3 linked regions of the Lytechinus pictus genome follow. The protein of the gene in region 1 interacts with the protein of each later gene in a pairwise test. Links are inferred from orthologs where the notes say so. Each region holds a gene or a part of one and is shown in the gene's direction. Other genes may lie near its edges. The genes, in order: proteasome subunit alpha type-1-like, zinc finger C4H2 domain-containing protein-like and methylenetetrahydrofolate reductase (NADPH)-like.

Region 1 (11,170 bases):
CTGCGAAAGGATTACCTTGGCGGCAAATAAAAATGTGATAAGCAGATTCCTCATGAAAAATTACCCCTTTTCACCGTCTACTTTAAATATTCACCGTCTACTTTTGTTTTGATAAGGATTTTTGTTGTCAATCACACACAAAACAAATGGGCTTCTGACCTCAGTAGGGCCGTCTGCACCATCCCGAGTTTTCAAATTCATTCATAAATTGGCTCTCGGCAGTGGCTGGATGACGTCGTGTAATAAGCGGAATGTACACGCCCGATAGCGTTGAACGCTCCGCTATCCGTTCTACACAATTTGCCACTGTGTCCTGGCTACATATTACCAAACACTTTCATGAATTCAGTCATATCAAACATTAATTTTATAAAATTCACCAAACTTTCACCATTAATACACAATTACCTACAAAATATAAATATGTAAACATTTTGCGGAAATTGTTTACGTTTTACGATATAAAGCTTCCAATCAGACCCCTCTTCGCATGTGATATATTTTGGACACCTGAAAAAGGTATCATTACCAGTAGAGGCGCACGGCCAATATTGGAGACTGTCTCCAATGTGGGAGATTATCTCCAATATCAGAGACTTTTGTAAAGAATTTGGGTATCCAATTTCAGAGACAGTCTCCAGTTTTGGAGTCCAATTTCCTTTGTTTACATTTGCTGCGAAAGGATTACCTTGGCGGCAAATAAAAATGTGATAAGCAGATTCCTCATGAAAAATTACCCCTTTTCACCGTCTACTTTAAATATTCACCGTCTACTTTTGTTTTGATAAGGATTTTTGTTGTCAATCACACACAAAACAAATGGGCTTCTGACCTCAGTAGGGCCGTCTGCACCATCCCGAGTTTTCAAATTAACGCGCTATTTCTGATCCGGCAAATTATCCCGATCTGAAAAATCTCGAGATAGTTGGCGGTGCAGACGCAATTATCGCGCTAGTTCGTAGAATTAATCTCGAGATTGCAATCCCAAGTCAACTCGGGTTTATTTGCAAAATAGCGCGCTATTTTACGAATTATCCCGCTAATTCGTCGGTGCAGACGCACTCGAGATTGGACTCGGGGTAATTTATTCATGACGTCAGTCCATAATGCAATTCGCGTTCCACTTCCGCCTTGGTCAAAACATAAACACGTGCGAAAGTCAACTATATACATGCGAATAGCGTTCATAAGCAACGATGGTGTCCCACCAGTGAATGGATTTTGGGAGAGACCAGACCGAAGGGGGAGGCGCTCATCGACGATGGTTATATTCAATAACAACAGCAAAATGTGAGCAAATAGCATTTCTTTCCTCCTTCTCTCCCTCTCTCTCTCTCTCTGTCGTTGCCTCCTACTCCGCCATCATATTTAACGAAGAATACATCACTTCTTCACTCGCTGAGCTGAGAGGATTGTTGCATAACACCGGTTGAATTCGGCGAAAGTGCTAGTGAAAGGAGTACATTGCTTGCATATCGCGGGAAGTTATTCAAAAGCGCGGGTCGTTGAAACTCCAAGATCCGAAAGTGCGCATGCTCGTAATATCGGGCTTGTTGCCTCGCTCGAGCAGGAATCCCTCTTCTTGCGATGGTGCAGACGGGGTTTCTTGAAACTCAAGATTAATCGCGAAGTGGGCCGATCGGGCTAAAATCTCGAGATTGAGCAAACTCGGGATGGTGCAGCACCGCCTAGTGAGACAAAATTTTGGGTGGAAAAAATCATGCTTTTGTTGGTGTTGTTTCTTTTGTCCTTTTGCAAAGCAAGTCTCCAATGTGGGATGTGGGAGATTGTCTCCCCTATTGGAGAGAGTCTCCCATATTGGCCGTGCGCCTCTACTGATTACCGAACGTGGGTTTTCTATGACTATGTCTATGGCATGGGAAAAGTTGAGAAAACAACAAAATCACTGATGAGCTGCCTACTCTATTTTGACAATATTTTATTATTTTTAGAAAGACTGAAAACTCAGCTCAGAAAAGATAAATTTTGAATTTTGACAATTTTTCATCATCTTTCTATTCAAGTTCTTTGGAAGCTAAGAGTAAGACTAAGTAGACCTAAGTTATGTTACAAAGTCAAAGACAAGTTTTGAGCAGTTTCAATGACAGTTTACCGTATGAAATTACTTATTTAGACTTAGTGCCCGACCTGGCTTAACGGTCGGGCACCCTGCAAAATCTGAACATACCAATGCCTCAAGTGTTCAATCCCAGCAAAGAAACTTGTTGATGACCAACGATCCAAACAAGGCCCACTCTCCGAAGCAGGTTTTTCTTCCGGGCCGAGCCTCAACAGCAACACATTTAACAATGCTGGAATCAGCACACCATTTTCTCTTGAGCGCATCCCAGCTTCTGGCAATACCAAGTGTAATGAATCATCCTCCATCACTACAAATGATTGTCAGCCACCACCAGCAGATCTTAAATCTAACACAGTCCAGCCTCAACCTCCTACTTCCTCGGCAGCCTCCAAGCCAGTTTTATTAGGAACCTTCAATACCAGAGGGTTCAGAAGCGCAGAACTTATGCTGAAGCATATTTTATTAGACATTGATTTACTGTGCATACAGGAGCATTGGCTCCATGACCACAATTTGGATTTACTTAATACACCAACTTCAGAACACTATGTTCTTTCTAAATCTTCTGAGTACTTGTCAAATATGAACATTGTACATGGCGGAAGAGGGAAAGGAGGCGTAGCTCTGTATCTCCGCAAAAGTTTGATTACATCATACACTGAAATAGTATGTCAGTCACCGAGACTTATAGCAGCCAATGCCTACCTTGCATCTTCGAATGAAAGAATACTCCTAATTAACTGCTACCTTCCGAGTGGCACCTCATCTGCTGATCTCACTGAGTACCAGGCCTGTCTAGCAATCATCACGCACTTACTAGACACTTATGTGCACCAGGCAAATAATCTAACCACTGTAGTGATTGCTGGAGATTTTAATGCCGACACAGTACATCAGAACAATAAAAAGACACTAGGATATCTAAGATCTTTCATGAACTCTGTTGTTTTCCTGAGTGCCACAGAGGAGCACTGTACATCTGAACAGTTTACCTTTCAATCAGATGATGGGAAGAAGAGGTCAAACATTGATGGATTCCTGATACCTTCATCTGCGCTATCACGATTTGGAGTTGTATCTATAAAGGAGGATGACCCTCTGAATACATCCGACCACTTTCCAGTCACCATCACATGGGATCCTTGTACCCCTCAGTCCTCTCTTAAGGAGGAAAAGAAATCGCCAAGCTCTTCCCCTCACAAATCGGAGAAAGTTTCCAGAATAAAAATAAAATGGGATCAAGTTGATCACAATACTCTCCAGGAACTCTACACAGTACCTTTGGAAGAGATAGCAATGGATCTATTTACCAACATAGGTGACTGTGAAATTCTTGGTAAAGAGGCTGAAGCAATCCTGTTGTCTCTCTCCCAAGCAATGGTTCAGCAGTCAAAAAATCTCCCTCACACTAAACCTTGCCAAAAACGTCTCGGTAAAGCAGAATGGACAACGGAAGTTGCTGAAGCATATTCTGAAGCAAATCATGCATGGAAACGCTGGAAAGACAATGGAAAGCCCATAGGAGTATCTCTGCATGATGTCTACCTCCAGTTGAAGAAAGTATTCAGACAAAGATTGAGACAGGCACGTGCCGTAGAACACCGTAGGCTCCTGTCCAGCATCGAATCTGCATCAACTGGAAACTCAAGGCTATTCTACCAGCTGATCAAGAGGCAACGAACCAACATCACAAAACGTCAAACAGAAGTGCTTGAGTACCAAGGCTGCACATACGAGAAAGGTGATGTAGCTGCTGGTTGGAAGTGCTACTTCACAGATTTGGCTCAACCTACACTGAATGCCGAAATCTCTCAAATAACAATTCATGATAAATTTGAACCTAATGAGGTTGTCCCAATGGTACAGGAATCAGCCCTCATTACCTCTCATGAGCTTGATGTAGCCATCGCCAGCCTCAAGAAAGGGAAAGCTAGTGGACCTGATGATATCAGCCCAGAACACATCAAATATCTCGGTGCAACTGCAAGGCGTCTTATACTTCTAGTCTTCAACTCCTTCCTGGTATCGTCTTTTACCCCTCAAAGTCTGAAGAATGGACTTGTTCTTCCTTTACACAAAGGAAAAGGCAAAGATGTGAAAGACCCAAGAAACTATCGTGGAATAACCCTGACTTCTACCTTGTGCAAATTGATTGAACTTGCCCTTAAACCAAGGATCCAGCGCTCCCTTGAAGAAAACAATATTCCAGATGAACTCCAGTTTGGTTTCCAAAAACATCACTCCTGCATCCTGACCTCATGTTGTCTTGAACTCATAATTGAACTTAATTCTGCAAACAAAACCCCCACTTTTGTTGCACTCCTAGATGCTGAGAAAGCTTTTGACAAAGTTTGGCATCAGGGTCTTTTCCATAAGCTAGGGGCCACAAACATCCATCCTGTACATCTTAATATGATCCAGTCTCTGTACAAAGATCTTCAGAGTCAAGTCCTTTGGAATGATGTAGCAAGTGAGCCCTTTCCAATCTATCAAGGAGTAAGGCAAGGGGGAGTTTTATCTCCACTCCTCTACATTACATTCATTGATGCACTCATCAAACGTCTACGCAGCAGGAATCTTGGCTGTAATCTACTAGGTCGATATTCTGGTCTTGTAGTCCTTGCTGATGATGTAGCCCTTCTAAGTAATTCACCAAGTGAACTACAATCTATGCTTGATGTCACAAACAACTATACAAAAGAATGGAAATACAGAATCAATCCATCCAAAAGCTGCATCATTGCCTTCAATGATAGTAAACATACCTCACAGCAATATGCCTGGCATCTGGGAGAGGACCCAGTGCAAACTGCACAAATGCATCCTCATCTTGGCATTATAAAAACTAGCACAAGGAGAGATCCAACTGAGGACATGATTGCAAAAGGTCTCAAAACCTTTTATGCTCTCACTGGAGCTGGTGCATATACAGGTGGCCTCCTACCACAACACTGCGCAACATTATGGAGAGTGTACTGTATCCCCCGCATGCTCTTTGGAGCCGCGGTCATTAACTTTACAAAGGGTATGTTAAAGAGACTCAACCAGTCACAGCTTCAACTTTTCAAGCAGATTCTTGGCCTACCGAAGTCTGCAGCTGATGAATCGGTACACCTTTTGACTGGACTAATACCTATCAGTGCGCAAGTGGACGTTGTGAAGCTTCAGTTGATAGGACAGTTACTTGACCTCCCTCACGAACGCTTCGAATATCGCACCTTTCTTCATGCCCTCTCCAAGCAAACGGTTACAATCAGAGCCTGGCAAACTATCCTTTTGAAGTATAACCTACCAGATCTTCAGTCACTTACACTGGACCCAATTCCTTACTGCCAATGGAAGAAAACAGTAAAAATGGCAGTAAACAATGTGGTCATACTTGAAACCATGGAGGCAATCCAAGCAAAGAAAACGCTCTCATTCTGGACCTCCATCAACATGCGGAACCCCTACCACTTGTATCCCCGCTGTGGCAGCTCGAGATTTCTCAGGCAAGCAGTAATTGTCAGAGCACAGCTACTAAGCCAGACATATCCAGTGCAAACAAGACTTGTTAAAATAAAGAAGACCACAATAGTCGAATGCAGGCTCTGCAAGAAAGAAGCAGAAGATATTGTCCACTTTATAGCAACATGTGTTCACCTAGACACTCATAGACAAGAATTCTGCAATAAGCTTAGAAGTAAACGCCTGCCAGATGAAATCTACTCCCTCTATGATACAACCAAAGGAGATGCATTCACAAGAGCGGTGTTACTCCCATGCTCTCTTTACCTCACCTCCCAACATAATGATGTGCTTATTTCGCTTACATTGACTTTCCTTTATAAACTCCATATTAGCCGTATTACATCTCTTTCCTCTCTGTAATCATTAACTGCTGATGGACATTCTTTATGCAGCACCTTGCTGTTGATCTCCGATATAAGCGGAGGAAGAAGAAGAAGAAGAAGAAGAAGAAGAAGAAGGTTAACCACCCTCCACCTTACAGCTACAATTACAAACACAAATAAACATGGGTGGGACCACACCACAACATTGGCAAAAATAACAGACTCACTTTCAATCTCTGAATCTACATCTGGTAAACTTGTTGATACCAGCGATCCGTAGGAATCTTTATTCTTATTCGCTGTAGTATATCTGGACACCCCAACGAGCTCAGCTTGAGCAGGAATTCTGCAAGTGCAGCTCATTATGAGAGCACGAAAGTTGCCAGACAAAACAACCGCCATGTTTTTTTTTCTTTTCTGTTTTTTTTTAGATCTTTATCAGTTAGTCTACATGAAAATGATAATTTTTTACCAAAAGAAATAAAATAATGAGGTAAATATTTGAAAAAAAATATTTTACGATTTAAAATATTAAATATTATTTCGTTGTTTATAAAAATAATTTTAAATGCGAAAAATTTAGAGAAAATTATTTACTCTTTGATCTTCAAAACTACTCAGTAACGTTAGGTCGAATCGATCGGATCGGTCGACCGGTCGAGAATTTTGCTTGCTCATGTTACGTCCCCCGAACGTTGAGAACTTCAACTCAAAGATCTTACAATTACATTATCAATCATTATGGTATGTTATTTAGTTATTATACAGTTTAAAGTATGGTGTATTGCATGCCCTTTTGAAATTATTCCAGTACAAGTGATGAGAGAGAGAGTGTGTGTGACTGAGTTTGATTTCAGTAGCGGCGCCGGTGCAGTGCCAGTGGCAGTGAGCGGTTTCTTCAATGAATTTGCCCGGGCTCCCCCCGGGCATTAGGAGAGGTACGGTACCGTACCAGTAATATGGGACCCATTGACTTGTCATTGACGATAGCCCTGGCCTGGGGCCGATTGCACAAAAGGGTCTTTCCAAGGATATACATGTATAGTTGCAGCAATAAATAAGCACACTTAATCAGTTGTTATTCCAATATTTTTGCTTCTTAAAGGAAAAAAATGGATGAACCTAATTTCATACAATCAAATGCAAAAGAACAAGTGGGAATGTGACATCAGTTTGCTCATTGAATACAGCCAGGTCTCTTCATGAGGACATGCCTAGAACTGTTTCAACAGAATAATGCAAATCTTAAAAATATCATAACTTTGTTATTTCTTGTCCGACTTTGATAAATTTTTCATTGTTTAGTTTGTCTGATTTTTTTAATCTGTTCAAAACATTTTTTTTTTCAGCCTGGAGTAGGCCTACCCCTTTATGATTGCAAGCGCAATGAATTGCATCATATGATGTAAAGAGTACATTTTGAACGCTACATGTGCAACGGTACAGATGTTTGACATGCAGCCTCGTACATGTATTTGCTTGCATGCAACAAGCTATTAAAGTAGGCATTTTCAAAGACACTACAAGGGGAAGACTAGACACACAATAGAGCGCGCAATGAAACGCTTGGGAAGAGTGCCCTACAGCCTTGAGTTTAAGTAAACCTTTGCCCGCCTTCGCGTATCGCCATTTTGGGTTGTATACAAAACATGGGGGAAATGGTGGAGGGGTGGAGGAATATACAATTTTTCCTTTTAAGAAAAAAAAATCTTCAATTTTTTTCTCAAATTAGAAATTAATATATTTTAAAGTTTTCTGTGTAATAGGTGGAATTACTCCCATGCGCTACCCTTTTACCCTCTTACAAATCCTCTCTCATTTTCCCCATATCTTTTATATACAGTCGCATGCTGATGTGTGATGGTTACTTACTCAATTGATGCTTTTTTGTACATGCCCTTCTCCATGAGCGAAATCAAGTGTTTCAAAAAATTGCCGAAGTGTCCGGTCTTCTCTGTAGTGTCTTTGGCATTGTACAATATTGATTATTACTATGATGATTATTATTTCAGTTCCGTAACCAGTATGACAACGATGTGACTGTATGGAGTCCCCAGGGGAGGATTCATCAAATAGAGTATGCCATGGAGGCCGTCAAGCAAGGCTCTGCGACCGTAGGTCTCAAGTCCAAGACCCATGCTGTGCTCGTGGCCCTCAAGGTAACTGTTCTGGTTCCATGACAATTACTCCCCTCTAAGTTGCACACACCTATTGAATAACCAACTTCAACCCTGGGTTTAACACTATACCCTACCCTAAACCTAACATAAAACCCTATTGCAACCCTAAGATGAATTTAAGCCTAGAGCAAGTGTCGCAGGAGAAAATGTTGTGTCACCGCTGTTCTTGACCCTTGTATGTAGACAGCTGATATCTGTGTGTTTGGAGGGGTTTAGACCAAAAAAAAATCACTCTTGTGGTTTCACCTACAACATGCACAGACAACTAGCCATCTGTCATACAGTGTGAGGGAATACTTTGTACCATGTGTTCCTCACTTCCAAAAATATCCCCTGGAAACTCCATGTAAGACTAGAAGTTTGGTTAGGGTTAGTGTGAAATTGTCAAATGGTACAGCCTATGATCAAATCATCCAAGTTGTAGTGGTTTTTGTACAATAGGAAACCTGCCCTGAGTGTCCTGACATTAATTTGGTTTAAATAAGCAGAATAATATTAAAGAGAAAAATTTGTGTGTGTGAGGGTGTGTGTGTGAATCCATGAAAGAATATTAAAAGATATGTAGCCCTGATTCTTTGGATTTCTTTCTATATAAATCGTGCAGTAACGTACATTGTACATGTATTTATACTATGATTATTTCCTTTCCTTTTTCAGAGAGCTTCGTCAGAGCTGTCCTCTCACCAGAAGAAGATTATTCCTATTGATGATCACATCGGTATCTCCATAGCTGGGCTCACGTCAGATGCCAGGATGCTAAGGTATGGGCAAATGGACAAACTTAAATGCCAGCTGTAATATCGATTTTTAAAGTGAATGTTAACAGAATACAAAATGATTATTTAAGTGGTATTCATGTATATAAGTATGTAGTGAAGCAATATAGGCCAGTCAGTAGAAAATGTGTAGATACCTAGACATGGACAAGATATAAAGCCTGGCATTTGTGTTTGGCCACTTCCAAGCATTATGGATATGCTGCCCCACATGTACTCATTCATGTTGGTGATATATTCAGTGTGGTCGCTTTTCAGCTGAGATTTCAAGACCACAGTATAGGTTTATGTACACAAATCAGATCTACGTGTAAGTAGATACTGTATATACTATGGTATGATGACAATCAACCTACAGACTTTCACATGAGATCAGTGTTGCTGCAACTGCATTATTTACCTTTAACCTTGACTTTAAAGACATTATCATCAAATCATCATTTGCTGCAACTCCAGGATCTGTGTCTTACCACTTACTGGAACTCCTCTTTTACAAGGCTTATATGAATCGATGGCCATCTATTAAAGGTCATGGCTATTGATGTACCATTGACTGACCTCGTCGTCCAGCTCATTGGCCTTTGCAATTTTTTTGTTTTATCCTTTTTACTTTTTGTACTACAAGCAGTCTTATTCAAACAAAATTCGGTTACTATATTTTATGACACTTTTGAGAGAAAGTTGAAAAGATAGGACGAAAAATTTTATGTCTACCAAAGTGCAGTATATGCTTATTCAATTGTTTTTGTGTAATGTTGAATTTTGAAGCTGTGTACTTTTTTTATCTCTCTCTCTCTCATCCTTTTACAGCAAATTCATGAGAACAGAATGTCTGAATTCCCGCTATGCATATGAGACTCCGCTACCTGTTTCAAGATTAGTTTCCGAAATCGGCAACAGTATCCTTTGAAATAGATGTTCATCTTTTGAGTGTTATTTCTCCATGGGACATAATTGCTCGTATTCTGAAGTCAGGTTTTACTTAGACCATGTTCTAACTCTGCTAAAATTATAGGAAGCCAAAAGTGCCGAAATCTTTATAAAGTTGTATTTTTCTTATGTTAACTGTGCTCTTTCCTGATTCATCGATGGTGAAGACAATCGTCTATGTATACTTCCTAGACAATTATGAATGATGTGAGAGCCAAATGAGCTGAAATGTGACATCTCTACTGTTTTAGTGATTTATGTGACAATTGTCTATCCATACTTAAACCACAACTTCAAACCTGACTTTAAGTTAAACCCGACTTCAGACTACGGGCCTATGTCATTAAAGTTTGCCATACACTGATGATATGGATTAAATGATAAGCTAAGATCTATCATGTATGACTGGGCACCCATTGCATGAAAGTTACTATTATGCTAACTACCATGGTAACACTGATCAGCAGCCAATCAAAATCAATGATTCTATGCAAGTTACAACTGAATGGCCAAGTTACCATAATGGTAGCCTTTATGCAACGGGACCCAGTCATTTATTACAACAAAAAATGTGCTAATGGCCGGTATCGATGACTAGTTACATGAATATCAGGGGAAAATTCCACCAAGCTCAGCGCGATTTAGCCCCCAAAATACTCAACAGAGCCCTGGAGACTCTAAAAGGAGCCCTGGAAAGTCAATGTTAAAGCTCATGTCCATTGTTACAGATATGGCAGTAAGTTGTGAAAAGTTGCCCCCGAAAATATGAATATATCATTTTGCCCAGGTGTTAGAATAATTACCCAGAATTGTTAACACTGAAATGGTCCTAATCTCCTGAGCTACATGTATGCCTTGGGCACGCACCTTGTGCATATAATTGTTACCAGTGTCTTCAGTGATGTCTATTTTGTTTCTATATTGCCCCCTGTTATCCCTGTATCCTGAACCAGGTGGTCCCTGTATAAAATTTATGAAAGCTATGAAAGAAATTCAGTAATCAGCAGGTTAACATTTTTGCTATCTGGAATATCATATTTTCTTTGACCAGACTCGCACAGAATCTCAAATTAACACACAGAGGTATGGACGGAGGCCATATGGTGTAGGACTTCTAGTGGCTGGGTATGATGTAAGTATAATATTCTATGGTACAAGGTTTTAGATATTAGTCCCATGAGGGATATAACAAGTGGGTTTACAGTTGAAAACCATTTCGAGCTTCTGCCCAATGCTTTGAGAAACTTTGCACAAACATTGGTTTAAAAGTGCTGACATTCAAGACAGATCTGTTTTATATGTTTTGTATTGTGTTGTCATGGTGATAGCCTGTTCCTCACATAAGTCCGATGTGAAACAACAGAGTAC
Region 2 (11,106 bases), on another chromosome or scaffold:
AAAAGTTTTAGAAAAATCGGACAAACAATGAGAAAGTTATGAGCATTTGAATATTGCAATCACTAATGCTATGGAAATGCGATGCAATGGCAATGCGACAAGGATGTGTGATGTCACATGTGAACAACTTTCCCTTTGATGGACTATAAAATACCCCCAAAATGTCTCTTTTTGCTTTTTCTCATGGTGATACAAACTTTTTATCCATGACGTATTATTAAAAAATCTGTATTACAAGCCCTCCTATAGAAAGAACACATGATCTACTGATAGATGTGATAAAAGAGGCAATTTAAGTGAAATATATTAAAATTACTGGGGAGAGTTGTTCACAAGTGACATCACACATCTTTGTCGCATTGCCAATGTGAGGATCTCCATAGCATTATTTATCGCAATATTCAAATGCTTATAACCTTCTCATTATTTGTCCGATTTTTCTCAACAATTCGTTAATCTGTTTCTTTGATTTTTCTGTTTTCACACAAGCTATTTTGTTCTAAAGGTTTCATTCTCCTTTAATAATTGAACATATTTTGAATGTAAACTGAAATTCACTGGAAAATGAAGTACACTGTAAAATATGAACTGATCTCACAACCCTATCTTTGATCTTCAAGAGGATGAGACACTATATTTCAGATCAAATGAAAGAAAGAGTTTAAATGGTTTCATTGATGTTACCTCATTTTGGTATGTGTAGTGCCTTCTTTTGGGATCTCAAAACTATATTTATCTTCAAGGAGGGATGATTAGACAAGGAAATAATTCCTGATTATAAGTGATTAGATGCTATCCCTCACAGAAATTTTCAAGCTTGCGGCATGCTAGTAGCTAGCATGCGGCTAGCTTAATAAGCGTGTAATATGCATGCAGAGTAATATTTAAGCGATCTTTTAGTGAGCAGGATCTGTTCGCTAGCATGCACTCGCTTATTAAGCGAGCGCCCTGCTAGTCGCATGCTAGTTAGTAGCATGCAGCATGCTTAAATTTCTGTAGGGGATATTTCAGATCAATATTCACTTGTACCCTGTTTAGAGGTGAATGATTCAATAATGTGAATTACAGTACTTAGTGTATCGTTTAAAATGTCAATTTTATGAAAGGGCAGTGACCATTCATGCTTGATTCCTGATTAAATTATGAATTTCACTTTTGAAAATATTTAGCACTATCTCTTGGTAATGTTTTATTCTTTTTTTTTCTTTTTAAAGACCCCTTTGAGTTTGAACACTTAACTTCTAAATATCTCAAAGCTATCAACATTTATTTTTATCCAAAAATTTTCAGCCCATTCCGTAAATTGCAAAATACATCCACTACATGTATTTGAACTTTTTATTTCATATCCTTTTAGCTGGAGACAGACCCATTCAGTAGAGCTGTCTGCACCAGCCCGAGTTTTCAAATTAGCGCGCTATTTCTGATCCGGCAAATTATCCCGATCTGAACAACCTCGAGATTGTTTGTAATGGAGGTGCAATTATCACGCTAGTTCGTAGAATTAATCTTGAGATTGCAATCCCAAGTCAACTTGGGATTATTTGCAAAATTGCGCGCTATTTTATGAATTATCGCGCTTATTCGTAGGTGCAGACGCACTTGGGATTAATTATTCACGGCGTCAGACCATAATGCATCGATGCCTCGCTCGAGCAGGAATCGCTCTTCTTTCGATGGTGGAGACAGGGTTTCTTGAATCTCGAGACTAATCGCGAAGAGGGCCGATCGGGCTAAAATCTCGAGATTGAGCAAACTCGGGCTGGTGCAGCACCGCCTAATGAAGTAATTAACTGAAACTATGAGTCATGACCAACCCTAGGGAATTACCAAAACTTATGAGAGACTTTAATATGAGCTTTTGATTATTTTGTAATTTAACCAGCCAACTTACAGTACAGCAAGTTGCAGGGGGAAAAGAAAACACTACATGCAAAAGGTCCACACAACACTTGTTGAATTCCCACAGTAGAAAGAGAAGGGGAGAAAGAGAGGGGGCGAGATTGCAGACAGGACCAGAAACCGGCGGATGTCAATATGGGTATCAGCAGTATACCCACTCCAAAGGGAGTGCTTTATATGCTGACATAAAACATAATCACTGTTTTGACTAACTGTAACAAAGAGAACAGCAATCAGATTTTAATTTAGTTTGAAATCCTCAATTTTCCCCAGGTTTTGCGTTGTTATTTTTTTGTGTGTGAAACCGTCGGTGTTTACTTTGAGAGAGTGCCGCTCAGGGAGAGGAGCTTGCTTCATTGAGTCTCATTCAACCTATGCATGAATGCTCATTGCATCTGTCTGGATTGGTGAAGAACAAGAGCGCTTTATCCAGCAGAGCTACTAAGCTTTCCCAAAGTCAAAATCAATCTTATTTGCTCCTCAAATATGGCAAAAATCATTGAATAAAAAAAAAACATTTTCATGATTTGAATAAATATTTCATATTGATATGACATCATCAAATTTAACGATAAAAGAATATTAGTTAACCGTAAAGATGCCAATTTGTATTTTTATAGTGAGTTTGTTATTTTCATAGCATTGCCAGTTTGGAGTGTGTAATGTTTTTAAAGCTCAAGTTCGATGGCTTTTATTCTATCGGGAGGGGGGGGGGGCGCATTGTGGTCTATTGGTTAAGACTTTAATCTTTCAATGTGAGGGACGTGGGTTCGATTCCCAGCCATGGCATGTTTTCCTTCAGCAAGAAATTTACCCACATTGTGCTGCACTCAACCCAGGTGAGATAAATGAATTCTGGCAGGAAGTAATTCCTCGAAAAGTTGTAAGCACCGTAATTGGTAGACTAGCCTAGCTGGGTAATATAGGAGCGCCTTGAGCAAGGTGGATATGTGCACTATACTTTATTATTATTCAAGAACAGCCACACATGCTGCACTTAGAATGGTAGCATTCAGCTTAAAGATGAACTGCAAAATGTCTGCTGAAGGAGACGATTCAATACATGAATAATGTTTCCAAAAGAAGGCACTGTACATAGTATGTCTATGGGTTAATATTCATGAAGCCCTTTTGTAGTGATATTTTAAATCTTACATAATCACTGATGATGTTTGTTTTATTTCACTTCAATACCTTAGTCAAATTTTTACAGCTAAATGCATAGTCAACTGATAAGTTGATATGTGGTATAAAATTAATTAACATTCCTCAAATTATTAATTGATTATGGTAGTTCTTATTTCTTAAGCTGTAATTAAAAATATTTAAAAGGGGTATGCATCTCGCCATGATTATAAAAGTGATTAGAAAAGGGTACATATCTAGCATTGTTCAATAATTGTTTCATCAATCCTGATATGAAAAGATGCATCTTTCATGAATTGAGTAATGACTGTTGCATTTGAATTTGGGAATTCTTCATTATTTTCATTATATCTTCCTTAGAAAATGCAATTTCAAATCAAGTTTCACAACTCTCCTTCAAGATCATTAAATAGAAATGTCATCTGCCTATAGTCTTTGTCAACTTCTAAACTTCAGTGCATACTACACCCAACAGAATTACAGGTTAGCAGACATGTAGGCCTACAATATGTAACTCAGAATACCCTCCTCCATATACCCAAAATCCAGAATGTTTCAAGTTTATTCCTGAAAAGACTTTTGTTAAAGTTAACCCCCCACTATACACCCTCTTTTCACCCTCTCTTTGCCCCTCTTTGTAGGAGTCAATTGGTTGTTCACACCTGCAACCCTTGTATTAATCAATCCCCTCTTTCATAGAACGGCTAATCCCCCTTTTATCCCTGTTCATCTGTTAGCTCAGCTCCTTGATGAGACAACCTAATTAATGGCTTGATTTTAATGTCTGACTTGTTGTTATCTGATATGCCCTTCAAAAATCAAGGGTTGACAGTGATTTTTAATGTTCTAATAAATCTGTGTTGGGTCCTGTTTATTACAGTGTCCACCTCCATGCTGTGTCTGAGATGTGATGTAAAATGAAGCTTCAAAAATGCACTTCAGAATCAGGATGTAGTGTTCATAAAAGTGAAAAATAAACATGGAATCACTCCCAACTCCCTGGAATAATCTTCCCCATTTTATTCCATGTACTAAAATGTGACCGACTATCGAGCACCATGCAACTGAAAGATTATCTTGGTTTTTGTTTTCAGTTACAGATATTAATTTGAAATTATCTGCACAAAGTTGATTTGCTTTTTAATATCTCCTTGGTATTTTTAATCCATGTAAAACACACATCATAGTTATGGAATTTTTTATAAAAAAAGACCCTTTATAATTTTACCCATTATGTCTTTAAAGGTCAAGTCCACCCATGCAAGAAAAAGGTTGAGTTGAATCAAGAGAGAAATATTAAACAAACATATTAAAATCTGAAAATTTCTTCAAAATTTCACAAATCAGTTATATGCACAACTCAGTGATATTTTAATTAGAGTTGATGATTTCCCTCACTCATTATTTCTTTTTTTATTGCTTGAATTATACAATATTTTAGTTTTTACAGATTTAACAATAAAGACCTCATTGACTGAACCATAAAATGTTCGAACACTGTTAATTGCACATGTTCAGAGAGGAATAAAACTTTGTTTCACATGACAGTGAGGGGGAAATTAAAGCATTACATATTTTATATAATAAAATACAAAAGAAATGGTGAGTGGGAGATTTCATAATTGCATATTTGTATACTGACCAGTATGTGAATAGAACTTTTTTGTGAAATGAAACAAAACTTTGAAATTTAATAATTTTCTTTTTCTACATCAGATTTTGATGAAATTATCAGTGTTATATGCTTGCTTGATTTTTCTCTTTTTATTCAAATCAACTTTTATTGTGGCAGGGTGGATTTTTACTTAAAAAATGGAGTATCTTTATGTATTATCAATCTATCCTTTTCTATATCTTACATACATATCCTCTAAATATTCTCTTTTTTGTCTTTTCAAATTAGTTTGAATTGTGAGTCAGTTTTTACTCTGGAACCAGAAATGGGTAGAAGTGATGGAAGTTCAACTGCATTTCAACACAACTTTGCGTTTGTCCCTCATGCAGAATTGTAGATTGATATTTCAGGCTCAGACATAAATGTTACAATTCGCACAAATTTGTGCAATCTGAAAAGTCTTTTCAAACCCAATCGGCAACAATCAAAACACCTAAGTTGCATTTAATATCATATCTGCAAAAAGTATCTCAAAACACGTTTTGAGAACGTGATTCTTTTTACCGCAGAAAAGAGATGATAAACGCACCCGGGGAGAGCTATAAGGTAGCTCGGAAGACACCAAAGAATGACGGAGTGTAGGGATTTGTTGCCAGATAATGCTCGGTGGTTGGTAGCTCGCCTCCGGCCTGAATAATTGATGGAGGTGTTAACGGCCTGATTGGGGGCATTTTATCCTTCCCTGCTCAGTGATTTGGGAAGCGAGCCTCCTGTTGCCCCGTATTAACCCGTCGGCTCCCAGTCAGTATCAGATTATCCCCGGATAGATCAAACTGTCATCGTTCGCCTTTCCCTCACTCTTTTATCTCTTCTGTCATTTTATTAAGGACAATTCTAGATTGGAAGTATCATGGGTACTTGAAATTGTTGCTAATGTCATTTTTAATATCTGTATTAGTAAGCGATAGATAGGAGTGCGATTGTTTGATTTCATAAGACAAATTATATTAATATTTTTTTTATCATTGCGGCAATAATATATTCTGTACTCATGTATATTGTCTACAAGTATGCCATAAGGGCATTGTTTGTCAAATGTTATTCATATCAAATACTTAATGACAAATGTCACCATCAATATTTTTTTTTAACATTTTGAAATGAAAAACAGTACGATTTTGAGACAAATACCTGTAAATAAAACATGTATTGCTTAATGCATATCTTCTTTCAAATGAAACAGATTTTTTTTTTAATTGATGAATTTAAGTGGGTCTTGAATGAAAAATGTTCGTCAACCATCTCTTCTTGACTATAAACATTTAATACTGATGTTATTATACAAAGAGAAGGAGGGGGCAGGATGAATATCCACGAGCTGGAAAATGTTCCCAGGTAAGTCACTTTCAACAGCATCGTGACTATAAACACTTATACTAGGAGTAAAAGAAAAAATGATAAATATCGATGAAACAAAGAAAATAAATTAGACAATCAATTTCAAGAAAAGGAGAGAAGAAAATATGGAGAGGGGAGGGTGGGTGAAAGAGAGAGAGAGAGAGGGGGGAGACAAATAGAGAGAGAAGGGGAAGGTGGTGGATTGGCTTGCCAGCCAGCCAGCCAAATTTGTTGCTTATCCGACAGGCCCCTCCCCCTTTTCTGCGTCTGGGAGACTGTACTCCCATGTTCATGGTCTAGCAGACAAGACACGCGAACACAAAAGACCCCAGCACTTAGCCAACACATGAACAATCAGGGCATGCAGCAGCTGAGCTCTATTCAAGTAGGGTCGATTAGTGATTGCATTGACCAAGATTGTTCATTTTATCCACTGCTCCGGCTCGATCAAGAGGAAGGTAGAGGCTCGCTCGTGGGGGATGGTGTCTGAAAACTTGGATCTTATGAACGGCATCCATCTCTTTTTTCCCATGAAGAGTCATTGTCTGAGCTATCCCTGTTGCTGTAATTTTTTGGACCACTGTTGCACTGCTTCTTAGTGGATCTGACTTGCCACTTTCTTGCTCCAATATCCTATCCCTTTGATGCTGCATGTTTTGGACGACTCGTTTGAGGCCCTCTCCTATGATTAGTAATTGTCTTTTTCCATTATCTACCCATTTTTCTGCAAGTTTTGGACCAATGTAGCACTGCTTTTGTACAGGACTACATCTTGACTATTAGCCATTCTGTGACTATTAGCCATTCTTATGGTCCTTTATATACCCCCTTTTATTGCTGCAAGTTTTTGGACAACTGTTGTATAGTCTTTAGGACGACTTTGAGGAGGGGTTATCTGATATTCGAAACTGTTATCAAACGGAGGAAACAGGATGAGTATCCACTTGCTGGAAAATGTTCTAAGGTAAGTGACTCTCAGCAGCATTGTGACTGAGCGTAGAATTATCAAGAAATTTGGCATCAAGATGATATTTTTAAAGGTCAAGTCCACCCCAGCAAAATGTTGATTTGAATAAATAGATAAAAATCAAACTAGCATAACACTGAAAATTTCATCAAATGCGGATGTAAAATAAGAAAGTTATGGCAGTTTAAAGTTTCGCTTATTTTTCACAAAACAGTGATGTGCACAACTCAGTGACATGCAAATGAGTCAGTCGATGATGTCCATCACTCACTATTTCTTTTGTTTGTTTATTGTTTGAATTATACAATATTTCATTTTTTACAGATCTGACTGTAGGGACCGACTTGACTGAACCATATAGTATTAAACAATGCTAATTCCATATGTATAGGGAGGAATTAATCGCTGTTTCACTTGACAATGAGGAGAAATTTAGAATATTTCATATTTCATATAATAAAATACAAAAGAAACAGTGAGTGGATGACGTCATCAGTCTCCTCATTTGCATACCGACCAGGATGTGCATACAACTGTTTTGTGAAATTAAGCGAAACTTTGAAATGTCATAACTTTCTTATTTTACATCCGATTTTGATGAAATTTTCAATGTTATGCTTGTTTAATTTTTCTCTTTTTATTCAAATATTTTTTTTGTTGGGGTGGACTTGTCCTTTAACTGCCCCAAACCTTTGAAAGAAAGAAAAAACATACTGAAAGAAATACTGTATATTGCAAACAACTGGCTATCGTATTATCATTCCCCATCTATTTTTTTGGTAAGAGGCATTCTTTGCTTTTTCAAAGTTGGTTTCAATAACTGTTGTTGATGATGAAATTGCTCATCAGCTTGGAGTGATCTCAAAAGGAAAGTGAACAATGATACAATTTTTCCCAAAGGGATGGTGTATATGAAAGGTGTATGTTTTGTCAACAATACTCTCATTGAATATGCTAGTTTCTTCTCACATTTTGAATTGCAACATATTAATATAAAAGCTTAATTTCCTTCAATATTAAGGGATATACATGTATGCAGAGCTATTCAAACTATAACGTTATACCAAGTTGGTAGAGATTAAAATGCATCATACCTGGGCATTACTTTTAATTAAGAAAATGAAAAAAGGATGTTCTCATATACCGTAAGGGTACTAGTATTCAACCCGTTTGGAGAGTTTCTTCAAATATACAGAAATATGGAATTTACCTGAATTTCAGACCTGTCTTATTTCCAAAAGCAAATGCTGGTTATTCTTTTCCCGTTATTTTTTTCTTCAACCCGTCAACTGCGTGCGCGGGCGATCGAATTTTACGGCGACGGTTTTTGGTACTAGTATTCAATCCGTCGGTACTAGTATTCAACCTAGTGATGAAAGATGGCCCTGTCTCTCGATCTGCCCTTGTCCCATCCGACTATGGACTAGACCATTTGAGATGAGACCAAACAGGGAATTAATCAAAGCCAGAGACTTCCATAGATCTAGATCTAATTTAGCAATCTAAACCCTTTTGAAATTTGCTATCAATCCTCACTATAGGTTGAATACTAGTGCCATTCAGTGCAAAAGGCCATCGCCGCATAATTCGATCCTCCGCGCATACAGTCGACAGATTGATAAAGAAAATACCGACAACAGATTACCCTGGAAATAACAAAGGTATGAAATTAAGATAAATTCCCTATTTCTAAATATTTTGGGGAATATGTCAAAATCTTTGAATTATGCCGGGTTGAATACTAGTGCCCATACGGTAGTGTTGTTTCTAAAAAAATCTAAAGTGAATAATGTTACAGCCCCATCAAATGGAAACAGAGAGTAGAATTTGAAGAAAAAACATCCCATGGTTTTCATATTTTCTGATTCATGTTCATTCAATTTCAAATATGAATTAAAGTATGAGATGGTTTCAATATAAAATGCTGTCTAGAATACTGTGAAATAAAATACTGTCATATAAAAAGATTCCTAGTTTGAATTTAATCTAGTGGCTGATGTTTGTTCTTCGCGCAAAAGAGACTTGGATGCATGTTTTTTTGCTACGGTCCCTTTTCAAGCATCATTTGGTCGACACTTGAGTAATTGGTTCTTGTTATCAAAGAGACTTTTACATAATGCCCACTATCTATTATACATATAATTTGTTTGGTCTGGGGAATTGCAACCATGCCTATTGTATTCTGGTTATTGTAAGAAAAAAAAGTGTTCACTGACAAATGTGAAAAGAAAATCAAGGAGAAGAACCATTGTTTGATAAAATATTCTGTTAGCTATGAAATGTTTTGGTAAAGTAAATCTTAAAGAAATTACTTTTAATTCACAAAACAAAGTGCTTTTATTTCAACTTCCATACTTGCAGCCCATGTTATTATAATTGTGTATATTTTGTTATCATTAATTTTGTAATCACTTGCATAGATCTGAAACATGATAATTCATGGATGATTTTTCAAGAAAGTTCATTTGTGAAACTTGTTGATCACATGTATTTTGTAATTTAAGCATATTATATAATATTGACTGGCCTTTTATTGTATGTGCGGCATTGCGGTCCGACTGTTGCCAGCAACAGACTCATATTGGCCCGAGTATTTAGACGAGGGCAATATATTTGATGTTTCCTGGAGAGGGCAACATGGCAAATGTTAACCCTGTTTGTCTCAAATTGAAAAGTAGCGAGCGAAATATGACATTAATATCTGCTAAAATGCCTTGTATAGGTAATTTATCATATTTATTTAATTTTTTATGTTTTGATTCACACTTTGCATATTTTTTGAGGGGGTACACTAAAGTGGGTCAATAACATGAATTGCATCCAATCTTACAATAGTGTATTGCCCTTAATATTTTTTTTAATCTGTTAATTTCTTTGTTGAATGTTTCTTCCTCTTATCTAGCTCACTCTTGGTTGATTTAAAAAAAAATTCTTTAAAAATGGCATTTGATCACTTGATTTTTATGATGATGACATACATGTAGCAGGAAATATCTTGAAATTTCCACATGCTACAAGAATTAATTTTTACATCAATAGAGAGAGAGAGAACAAAATATGCAGATAGGGCACACAGTGACAACCACCCCCAATAAATGTACTGTAACATACTTATGCATTGAATGTTAATTAACCACAGTCCTTTCAAAATTGTTAAAGAATATTGCTTTGACATATCTGTACTTTGGTTCGATTTTCATCTAGACTATTGTATAAAAATCAAATCAGTGATCATTGTACAAAAATGCAAAAGTATGTATAGAAGTGCTAGCATGACATCCAGTACATGTACATACTGACAAAAGATACGGCTCATGAATTTCACACGATATTTCCATTTATTGATTCTGCTAAATATTCAATATTTATTTTGTTTATTGTTAAGCATTTTAAACCAATTACCCCAGATAAAGACCACCTGTACATGTATGTCAAGGCAATGACAGATTGTCAAATTGGGTAATCATTCCAGTTGAAAATGTAAAAAGTTAAACATGCAAACCTGTTTAGAACTGCTATTGATTCTCAAATATGTAGTCGGTTTAAAGCTCTTTGTTAAGGGTCATTTATCTGAATTATCAAATATACATGTAGCATTCCAATAAAATGCAAGTGTATTGTCCTTTCAATCTGTGTCAACCATTATAATAGTTCTTTTTAAAAATTCATAAATATTATATTTCAAGATCTCTAGCACTATCTCTCTCTCGCTCTCTTTCCACAATGTTTATATTTTCTTTAAAAGGGAAAATCCAAAAGCTAAACACGAAGATTGTCTCCAGATTATTTTCAACCCATTCAATAATTGAGAAGAGGTTTTATATCAAAATGGAAAAAATTAATATGAAGATATTTTTATTTTGATCTGGCATCCATTCTAAAAGTATTTTAATGTACATGTATGTTCAAGGAAACACATGTTTATTTCCTTTCATTCATATCCTAACTGTTATCGGCATACAAACTCATATAATCAAGTAATTAATTGGAATATTAACATGCACTTTGGTGGGTAGGGGATTGATTCATCAGAACTTAAAATAAACTTCAAACGACAAGTCCTCCCCAACAAAAAAGT
Region 3 (11,423 bases), on another chromosome or scaffold:
TGGTTATATATCATTTTCAAACTATCACTAAAACCATGGTTAAAATCATGGTGTATAACCGTCGTTTTCAACCATGGTAAAACGGAAATTTAACCATGGTATTGTAACCACTGTTTTTACACTGTCATTAAACCATGGTTATATAACCATCATTTTCAAACTATCATAAAACCATGGTTAAAATCATGGTGTATAACCGTCGTTTACAACCTTGGTAAAACGGAAATTTAACCATGGTCTTGTAACCACTGTTTTTACACTTTCATTAAACCACGGTTAAAACCATGGTTATATAACCATCGTTTTCAAACTATCTTAAAACCATGGTTAAAATCATGGTTTAATTATAACCGTCGTTTTCAACCTTGCTAAGACGAATGTTTAACCATGGTCTTGTAACCAATGTTTTTACACTTTCATTAAACCACGGTTAAAACCATGTTTGGTTATATAACCATCATTTTTAAACTATCTTAAAACCATGGTTAAAATCATGGTTTATAACCGTCGTTTTCAACCTTGCTAAGACGAATGTTTAACCATGGTTTTGTAACCACTGTTTTTACACTTTCATTAAACCACGATTAAAACCATGGTTATATAACCATCATTTTCAAACTATCTTAAAACCATGGTTAAAATCATGGTTTATAACCGTCGTTTTCAACCTTGCTAAGACGAATGTTTAACCATGGTTTTGTAACCACTGTTTTTACACTTTCATTAAACCACGATTAAAACCATGGTTATATAACCATCATTTTCAAACTATCATAAAACCATGGTTAAAATCATGGTGTATAACCGTCGTTTACAACCTTGGTAAAACGGAAATTTAACCATGGTCTTGTAACCACTGTTTTTACACTTTCATTAAACCACGGTTAAAACCATGGTTATATAACCATCGTTTTCAAACTATCTTAAAACCATGGTTAAAATCATGGTTTATAACCGTCGTTTTCAACCTTGCTAAGACGAATGTTTAACCATGGTCTTGTAACCAATGTTTTTACACTTTCATTAAACCACGGTTAAAACCATGTTTGGTTATATAACCATCATTTTCAAACTATCTTAAAACCATGGTTAAAAGCATGGTTTATAACCCTCGTTTTCAACCTTGCTAAGACGAATGTTTAACCATGGTTTTGTAACCACTGTTTTTACACTTTCATTAAACCACGATTAAAACCATGGTTATATAACCATCATTTTCAAACTATCATAAAACCATGGTTAAAATTATGGTGTATAACCGTCGTTTTCAACCATGGTAAAACGGAAATTTAACCATGGTATTGTAACCACTGTTTTTTTACACTTTCATTAAACCACGGTTAAAACCATGGTTATATAACCATCATTTTCAAACTATCATAAAACCATGGTTAAAATCATGGTGTATAACCGTCGTTTTCAACCATGGGAAAACAGAAATTTAACCATGGTTTTGTAACCACTGTTTTTACACTTTCATTAAACCACGGTTAAAACCATGGTTATATAACCATCATTTTCAAACTACCTTAAAACCATGGTTAAAATCATGGTGTATAACCGTCGTTTTCAACCTTGGTAAAACGGGAGTTAAACCAAGGTTTCCTAACCATTGTTTTTATACTACTGTGAAACCATGGTTACAACCATGGTTAAATTACTATGGTTTTTTCACCAAAGTAGAAAGATGATTTTGTCATGGTTTTATAACTATTGATTTTAACTTTCTTAAAACTGTGGTATAATGATGGTTTTTATAACCATGGTTTTAAAATCGTCATAAAATGACATTTTTATCATGTTATTATAACTATGGTATTTTAACAATGGTATTACCACACTTCCGCCACACATTTACCTTGGTTATGAATGTAAAACCATGGACTACCATCGATCCATTGTAAAACCGCCCCTAACCATGGTTATACCATGATTACGGTTGTAAAACCATGGTTTTTTTTTTATAAGGGTATGCTTCTATTCATCTTGTTAGTTTATCCAAAATGATGTTCGGAAGTGAATTTCAGCGTAGATCCAATTTAATATTGATACTGTATACTCAACAACAACTGAGATCATTGTCTGTCCAGTTATTCATTTACTAGAACTTGAAGTTGAAGACATGACCAAAAAATTAAAAGTAGTGGACGATGCGATGACCAACACAGAACTTGAACATGACAAGAAATGCATGCTTTATAGTACATAATCATGTACATACAATGAGCATATTAGAGCGCCTTGAGCTTGGCAAGAGTCAAACCGAAAGTAGCCCGACACAACAGTGAGGTCATAGAATCATGATTGTAATCACGATATCGTTTATTCGAACATTTTCGTACGTGATTCTGCAGAAACGTCTTTCCAAACGCCCCTTTTTTCGTGTTTCATGTTTGTGATTCTAATCATGATTATATTCAATTTCGACTAAACGCAATCGTGATTCTGCAGAATCATGATTTGAATCATGATTCAGATCATGATTCTAGGGTAAAAAAGTGGCGGATAAACGCACCCCAACTACGAAAGTCATATCTGCCTGGTCTTCGGATGGCAGAATAATAGCCTTACTTCCAGCAAGCGGAGGAAAAACTGTCAAACGTTTGATCAGGGCTGAGAGTGGTTTGGACACTATATGAATATATAATCTCTTGATGTATCCCTGATTAAACAGGACTGATATTACTGATGAAGATTTTAATAAATGCAGGGTTGATTACATATTAATCATTAATTTTCATGGACCTGATGTAATCCTTCGTTATCTACAACTAGAACTCTTGTATTAACTTTACGGCTGTATTATTTTTATATTGAATAGTGTTTTAACATTTTGTTCTACTTTTATGTAGTTTTTAGCTAATGGTGAAACAATTTCCTTGCGTCAGTGCCTTAAAAGTGTAAAAAATACTCAAAGAGCTTTACAATGTACTGTCTGTAAAAAATGGGTTTACACAAAATGTGTTAAAATAAGTAATGATTTATATGATGATCCTATATACTCAATTGTTTTTAGACTGGCAATGTACCAATTGTCTTTTCAATTACTTACCTTTTTTAACTGGTGAATTTGATAACATTTCATGTACCACTCACACTAAAAGTAATGTGAATGTCAACACTTCTTGCTTATCAGAAATAGGAAACCCGTTGCAATTTGATTGCTTACAAAGTACAGGTCTTAGATTTGTACACTTAAATATTCGTAGCCTCCTTCGGAACATTGATTAAATAAAGTTATTATTAGAATGTAACAAAATACATGTACTATATAGCACTGAATGAAACGTTTTTAGATGAATCAATATTCAATAGTGAATTAAATATTGACAATTATCTCCTTATCCGTAGAGATAGAAATCGACACGGAGGTGGAGTAGCTGTTTATATCCAAAATTCGTTATCTTTTGAAGAAATTGATTATAAAGTAGAGAACTCATTAGAAATAATTTCGTTAATGATACGTCCAAAGTTTTCAAACCCAATTATTTTTAGTACCTGGTATCGACCACCAAACTCTCATCTTGATATATTCCAGCAATATGAAAACTATTTATCATATCTTGACCGTTTTAACAAGTATATTGTCATAATGGGTGATACCAACTGTGACATCTTAAAGTCTCCATTATCGACTGACACTGAACGTTTACAAGAAATTCATAACTTATATTCTTTAGATCAAATTAATAGAACCGACTACACAAGGGTCACATGCAATTCAATGACTCTCATAGATCATATGATTACTAATTCACTTGAAAATATAAATAAATATGGTGTTATTCACATTGGTATCAGTGACCACTCAATGAGTTACATGATATAGAAATCAAAACATGAAGACGCTTCTCGAATGATTAACTTCAGAAAACTATCTGGTATTGATCTAGAAGCGTACATGGAAAGATTAAATAACCAGTCTTGGCACGAGATACTTAATTATGATAATATAAATGAAGCATTTATCAAATGGGAAGAACTTTTAATGTCAGTTGTTGACTATTGTACGCCTATCAGAAGTAGAAGAATTCAGAGTAAAAAATCGCCCTGGATGAACTCAGAAATACTTAAATTGATTCGAGAAAGGGAGAAATTGAAGAAAAGGGCCTTAAAAAGTAAAGATGAAATTAAAATGATAGAATATAGAAAGATCAGGAATAAAATCACTTGCCAAATTAGGAAAGAAAAGAAAAAATATTATAATGATCAAATAACAAAACTAAAAGTAAATGCTGGAAATATATGGACTGTTATGAAATCATTATTACCTTCTAAGAAATCAAATTCTGTGATTAAAACTGACAAAGAACAAATATTTGAGCAAAGTGAGAATTTTAATAATTATTTTGCAAATATCGGGGCTGATTTAGCATCCAAGATTCCTATTTGTTCTGGAATAGTGCCGGAGCAATGTAACCTGGATTCATCTTTTTATTTTACAGCAGTAACAGAAGAGGATGTTTCAAAAGAGATTAAATTATTAAAAATATAAACCTTCTTCTGGTATAGATGGTATTACTGCTCAAATACTAAAAATGTCTGCACCAGCCATACTTCCATCCACTAGCGTACCTACGGGGGGGGGGCAGAGGGGCAGTCTGCCCCCCTGACGAGCCACCACCCATGCAAAGCCACCACCCATGCATGTATCCCTGCCCCCCCCCCCCCTGACGAGCTTGAAAGACCTTTTTGCCCCCCCCCCCCTGGAAAATCCTATAGGTACGCCAGTGCTTCCATCACTTACTTATTTGATCAATAAATCACTACTAGATAGTACGTTCCCACATAAATACAAGATAGCAAAAGTTATTCCAATTTACAAATCAGGTGATAAAAATGAACCTTGTAACTATAGACCAATCTCCATTTTATATTTCAAAAATTATGGAAAGACTTGTATCCAACCAACTTAAATTGTACATGAAAGAAAATGAAATACTGATCTGTGTGGATCAGTACGTCCGTCCGGATTCAGAAAGAAACACTCAACAATGACTTCTCTTTTGAAAGTCACAAGGCAATGGACGAGGGTCTTTATACATGTTATACGGGGCAGTATTCATCGACCTGAAAAAAGCCTTCGACACTGTGGATGTTAAAATACTTGTGAAGAAGCTAGCAAAGATTGGTGTTTCAGAAGATGCTTTGCACTGGTTTGAGAGTTATTTATGCAACCGGATTACCGGAATATATGTACATGTATCGAGAATATTACATCAAACGTCTCAAGTATAGAGTATGGGATTCCACAGGGTTCAACCCTAGGGCCAATTCTCTTTACGTTATACATAAACGATATCAATAAACATGTAAAATATTGTAAACTGCATCTGTATGCAGACGACACAGTTATTTATTTTTCTGGAAAAATATCAGTGAGATAGAATACTACATAAATATTGATCTACATAACATATATGGTTGGCTGTGCCACAACAAACTAAGCCGTAATGTTGATAAAACGAATTCTATGCTTTTTCGAACTAATATTATGTTATCAAAATGTGCAAATATAAATGTTGAAATATCTGATAAAACTATTAAGCAATCTAACTCTGTTAAATATTTAGGCATGTATCTCGATCCAAAGTTGAAGTGGGATACTCATATTGAAGAACTATGTAAGAAAACTAATAAGCTTGTCAAATATTTAGCACGTCTAAGACATTTCGTAACTGAAAGTAATCTAAAATCATTGTATAGTTCAGTTATACTTCCCTTATTTGATTATGCTGATATTGTGTACGAATCCACAAATAAGAAATATACTAAACGTCTTCAAAAAATTCAGAACAGAGCTGGCCGTATCATTTTGAATGTTCATTAAACCGCAAAATCGAATATCAAATAGAGAAATACACCAACGACTCGAATGGAGGTCATTACAATCACGAAGAAATATCCATATATATATACAATGGTGTTCAAATCATTGAACGGCCTGGCTCCATTATACTTAGCAGATTCATTTAAATATTGTAATTACTCATATAATTTAAGAACCGTAGGTAATGTGATTATGCCCAAACCAAATACAGAAAATTGCCGTAGAATGTTTATATATAGAGGTTCACGCCTATATAATGACTTACCTTTAGATATGAAATTATTTTATCAAAGACTTAACTACATTTATTACTTATTTGAGCTCTAAGATTTCAAATTACATTGATCTCTGAGCAACACGTTGTTTTGCCGGGAGGGGGTGGGGTGTATTTGCTTGTAGCTTGAACCAGTATACATCTCTATGGCTTGAACTCATAACTTTAAATTTTGTTTTATGTCTATTGTCTAGTTTTCATTACTTTATATTGTGTTTAACAATGTTCTTTTCTGTTGTTAATGATGTTTATAATACAATCTGATCTATTTTATTATGTTCTGGACCCCTAGGCAGAACAGAGTGGTAATAATTTCCACTCTGAATGGGCAATCCAGCCATTCCTATGTATTTATTTTATTTTGTAATTATATCTGATGTATTTTGTTTGTATTTTGCATGTTTTTATGAATGGAAAATAAATACAATACAATTATTACAATTTAAAAAAGACGTTTAAAATGCATGCCTATATTAATTTTACCCCCAACTATCCAAGCTCAGCGCTGAATGCGCATCATGCTCTTGACTTTGTAGGTAGGTGGAAGGGGTGGAAGAAATGAACATGAGTTCAATTCGTGATGTGATATTCCAATCAACCTTTGATTCTGGTGTGATAGACGCATTCGGATATCGATACAGCTGCATTGAACGGTGGTTTCGCTGTAACGTTAGAGGGCGCTCAACGAACTGCACTCTGATATATATATGCCGAATTGCGAACGGCATAAAATTACGCTGCGATGTTCTTTGGGTCTCTTTCGCTTCTCAACCTTCGCCGAACGCACGTCGAAGCACCTGCTGTATGTAAACGAGATATCGTAGTCTTGTTCTGCTTTGTTGTACAGGCACGTATCTTCTACTCTTCAATTTTTATAGACCCTTTCGTAAAGCTAAGCCTACTTTGGTTTATATTGTGAAGTTTGTTGGCCAATTTGTTTATTGTTTTCACCATTATGCATTTTTAGGGAGGAAACTTGCAACACTGCGCCGCGCAGAACACAAAGTCAGAAAATTGCACGAAAATTTTAGAGAACTGAGTCTGAGATCTAACTTAGCCTTAGCCTTAGGTACGGTACGGTAACTCAAGTCTCTGTGTGAACAAATTTAGACTAGCTTTTTCGATCTGCGGTATCAACAGACAACAACAACAAATGTCCTTGGCCGGTGTAGCGGCGGATTTGGTTCCACCGGCGGATACCGTATCCGCCGGCAGATATCGTTCTTAATGGCCGATATCGTTTTTAACCGGGTTTAACGCGGCTTGATGTTTGCAGATTTGGTTCCTCGGCGGATTTGGTTCTATTGACGATACGTGTAATATTTATTTGGACAGACGTCCAACCTCGGCAGCGCGCGCATGCGCGGCTCTGGCAATGTCGTTACCAATGGGGGGGGGGGGATTTTCGTCCGCCTTTAGACTTTTAGTGAATTTTTATTCAGGGGCGGATCCATACAGCTTTTGACGAAGGGCTCGATGGGGGTGAGGGAATAGGAGAAACAATGACTCGATATATCATGTATACATAGACCTGGCAGTGGCACATGCGCCAAAACTTTGCTATTTATTATTATCAGATTTTGATGAAATTTTCATCATTTTGTTTTGTAGGCCCTACGTGAAAATTTATACTACTTTCAGTCCGCAGTATGCATTGATATCTTTAACTGTGCTTTTTCACACCGTGATTAGTGTAAGTTTGCCAGACTGGCGAAAATTTGTACCCCCATATAGGCCTATGGTTTTTATAAAACTACAGATTTTCAACGAGTTAAAACTTCATAATTTCAAAATAAATGAGGCAAATTAGTTTATGAATATATATTGCTGTTAACTCATATTATTGCTTGTAGAGTGCTAATTTTTTGTGAAAACATTAAAAAAAAAGAATTTCAAAACATGATTAATATCTTATGTAGTTTATTGTAGGCCTATTTTTAATTTGTCATGTATTTTTTTTATTTGTTTTTTTTTATTCCTTTTTTTTCAATATTTTTGTTAAGGAATCTGAATTAAAGGGATGGTCCGGGCTGAAAATATTTATATCTTAATACATAGAGTGGAATTCACTGAGCAAAATGCAGAAAATTTCATCAAAATCGGATAAGAAATAATAAAGTTATTGAAGTTTAAAGTTAAGCAATATTTTGTGAAAACAGTCATCATGAATATTCATTAGTTGGGCTGATGATGTCACATCCCCATTTTCCGTTTTCATATGTTATCACACAAAACCATATTTTTTTCATTTATTTCATACTTGTGTGAATAATATGTCTCCCTTATAATGAAATAAGTTGCAGCAATAAATATCTAATGCACTAAATCAGTTGTCACTCAAAATTTTCTAGTTCTTGGAGGAAAAAATTTGAATAAACCTAATTTCATATAATAAATTACAAAAGAACAAGTGGAGATGTGACATCATCAGTCCACCTAATGGATATTCATGACGTAACAGGCGGGGGGGGGGGAGTTGCCCCCTGGCGGATTTAACCAGGAATAAAAGAAAAACGGGAAAGGAAAAAAAAGGAGGGAGAAAGAAAGGGAAAGGGGAATGAGGGGAAAAGGAAAGGAAAAAGTGAAAAGAAAACGAAGAAAAAAACCCTTTTTAACGGAAAAGGAAGGAAATCGGGAAAATGAACGAAAGAAGAACATTTGAGAAAGAACAAATCATTCCAAAACAGGCATAATTATGTAATGCAATAGCACGGTGGGAAATAAATTAAAAGATGACAAAATGGCAAACAATAGCGCGAAACGAAGGTAAAATGCAATTAGTCAAAAGCTAATTTTTGGAAAACAAAGAAAAGGGACAAGAAAAAAAAATAACACGACCGGGCTTCCGATGATTGAAATTAAAGAGCAGGAAGAAAGATGGACTGCATACAACATTGTGCTATATATAAGCTAGCTAAATTTTATGTAAATAAGCTACCGGGGCTTTGCCCCAGACCCCACACAGCTGTAGGGGCTCTTCATTTATACTGAACCTCAAATTGCTCTATAACGCTTCCCGTTCACAATCACGTTCAATTACTGCACATGCGCGGGGGGGGGGGGGTCTTGGTTCCACACCCAAGAGAAATATAATAAATTAAAGGAGACAAGGTATAATGAAATGAATGGAAACAATGAAATTTGTTAGTTGCTGAATCTAATGGAAAAATCAATTACATAATTCGAATTTAATTTCAAAATGCATTTTTTTTTCCAGCTCGATCGCTTTGCGACTTTTTACAGATTTTTCCCACATTACTATGTTTTGCCCCTCAAAATATTTGGTTCATTACGCAACTGGGTTGAATAAATGTGTTTTGTAAAAGCTATATCCTGTACATGCCCGCGATTTGATTAAAATAGCGGCAATCTGCGAGGAAATGGCTTTGATATAAAAAATTCCGGACCCCAACCGCACAGCACTGCGTATGGAAGGGTTGGGCTATGATCCCAAAAAGTTCTACAAACAAGAACAAAAAGAAAGGAGGAAAGAAAAGCAAAGGAAAAGTGTAGAATATGATTTTATTTACTGAATATAATGCCAAAAAATAGCTCAAAGTTAGATTCTTCTTTGTGTGCAGTATGTGAATTTTGTTTCATTTATTGTAAAGCGCGTAGAGAAACTTTCAGTTTTATGCGCTATATAAGGGAAGTATTATTAGTAGTAAGTCTGTTTATATGTATACAAAACTCTAAATCATCTAGCACCTGAATATCTTAATAATACCATCAAATTATACACACCCTCTCGTAATCTTCGTTCAATCACTGACACATGCAGACTTTGCATTCCCTTGTCAAAACTCTCCTCTGCCGAAAAACGGTTTGCTGTAGCAGCTGCCAAGACTTGGAATACTATCCCTCTTTCAATAAGAAATGCTTCCAGTGTTCTTGGCTTCAAATCTTCCCTTAAGACATACATTTTTCCTCAATAATTAATTTCCCTTTTTATGTTGAATATTGTAGTAATTATTGCAAATGTTGAATTGTTATTCCTACATTGTACGCGCTATGGTACGTTTTGTTTTTAGCGCCTCTAAATACCCATTATTATTATTAGTAGTATTATCATGAAAAGGTGATTTTTTTTCTCGCTGGCTTCGTTCGGGACTTATATAAAGCAGCTTTTTAGCTCATGTGCTATACTGCGCCCCTCGTTTTTTTTTTACACTTCACGCTACTGCCGCAGAATCCTGTTCACAGTGGCGTATACAGACCACCAAAAAAAAAGGAATCTAAAGAGAGAAGAGTGAAAAATATTATTCTCTTCGCTTCGCTCACTTTTTTTTAAAGATAAATTATGCCCGATACGCAATATCTGGCCTTTTCAAAATAATCGCCTCATTACACAAAATTTTTGGCTCTCCCCCCCCCCCCCTGCTACGCCGCTGACTCAAGATCCCTTCTCTACACATGCCCATCATCCCTCCTCAGCACGTCCCCATACCAACGCACGACGTTCGCCTTTGCCAACTGGTCCTTCGCTTCTTCCAACCCTAACATCTTCATCAAGTCCTCAGTCTTCTTCCTGTCCATCAACTTCATCCCACATCACTCTCACCATTGCTCTCTCCTTGCCCTCCTTAAGATCCCCATCTTATTTTTGTTCAAACACATGTCTCATTCCCATATAACATCACCGATCTTACACAACTCTTATACACCATTCCTTTCATCTTCAAAGGAATTCTTTTCCCACATAGCAGCTCTCCACATTCCCTAAACTTAACTCTCCCAAACTTTGCTCTAGCTGTCACAGATGCCTCACACCCACCACACCATAAATGATCATGAAAAATACATTTCCTTAAAAAAAAGGAGAGATTTGGATCCCTCAATATCGCCTGTACTTCTGGTGATACTGAATAATGGGATATATCACGTGTGATTTCATCACAATTAAGGTGTAATTGACACAAGTCATAAACATTTACAAAACACATCAGAACAATACTCTAAAAGTACCATTTCGGTGTGAACCCTTTTATTTTGTTTCTTTACAACTTTGATTCTTTCATTTCCACTTTAATGCATGTAAATGAATATGAAGAAAAGCTTAACCTTTATACAGTTACATAAAACATTTTCTCACTACCAGCATTAGCTAATTAATGTCCATCCAATATTTTACTACAATAGCCGACAGCGTCACTAATGTGTCACATTTGAGTTTCAAGCAACATTCCTATATTACAAAGGTGTAATGGTCCTTGGATTTATCTACTGCTACCATTCAAAGTTTTATTTTTTTTTTAATAGTAAAAGTAAAACTGCATTATTTTTTAGTTAAAACTACTGCTTGGAAATACTTATTGCAAT

What was found.
Region 2: the proteins of proteasome subunit alpha type-1-like (region 1) and zinc finger C4H2 domain-containing protein-like interact in a two-hybrid assay, tested with the Caenorhabditis elegans proteins (3 studies listed by BioGRID). The link is inferred for Lytechinus pictus from reciprocal best matches to the Caenorhabditis elegans genes pas-6 and vab-23.
Region 3: the proteins of proteasome subunit alpha type-1-like (region 1) and methylenetetrahydrofolate reductase (NADPH)-like interact in a two-hybrid assay, tested with the Caenorhabditis elegans proteins (3 studies listed by BioGRID). The link is inferred for Lytechinus pictus from reciprocal best matches to the Caenorhabditis elegans genes pas-6 and mthf-1.

Annotation. Positions count from the first base shown.
Region 1 is NC_087263.1:7,347,937-7,359,106, forward strand, and holds the start of proteasome subunit alpha type-1-like, read left to right. Parts: upstream 1-6,531; 5' UTR 6,532-6,657; coding exon 6,658-6,660; intron 6,661-7,928; coding exon 7,929-8,075; intron 8,076-8,753; coding exon 8,754-8,857; intron 8,858-9,682; coding exon 9,683-9,771; intron 9,772-10,863; coding exon 10,864-10,934; intron 10,935-11,170. Other genes in the region: small ribosomal subunit protein mS35-like, read right to left, coding at 6,144-6,318. UniProt on the Caenorhabditis elegans protein: The proteasome is a multicatalytic proteinase complex which is characterized by its ability to cleave peptides with Arg, Phe, Tyr, Leu, and Glu adjacent to the leaving group at neutral or slightly basic pH.
Region 2 is NC_087248.1:18,903,353-18,914,458, forward strand, and holds the start of zinc finger C4H2 domain-containing protein-like, read left to right. Parts: upstream 1-6,366; 5' UTR 6,367-6,993; coding exon 6,994-7,025; intron 7,026-11,106.
Region 3 is NC_087258.1:5,054,374-5,065,796, reverse strand, and holds the start of methylenetetrahydrofolate reductase (NADPH)-like, read left to right. Parts: upstream 1-6,797; 5' UTR 6,798-6,951; intron 6,952-11,423.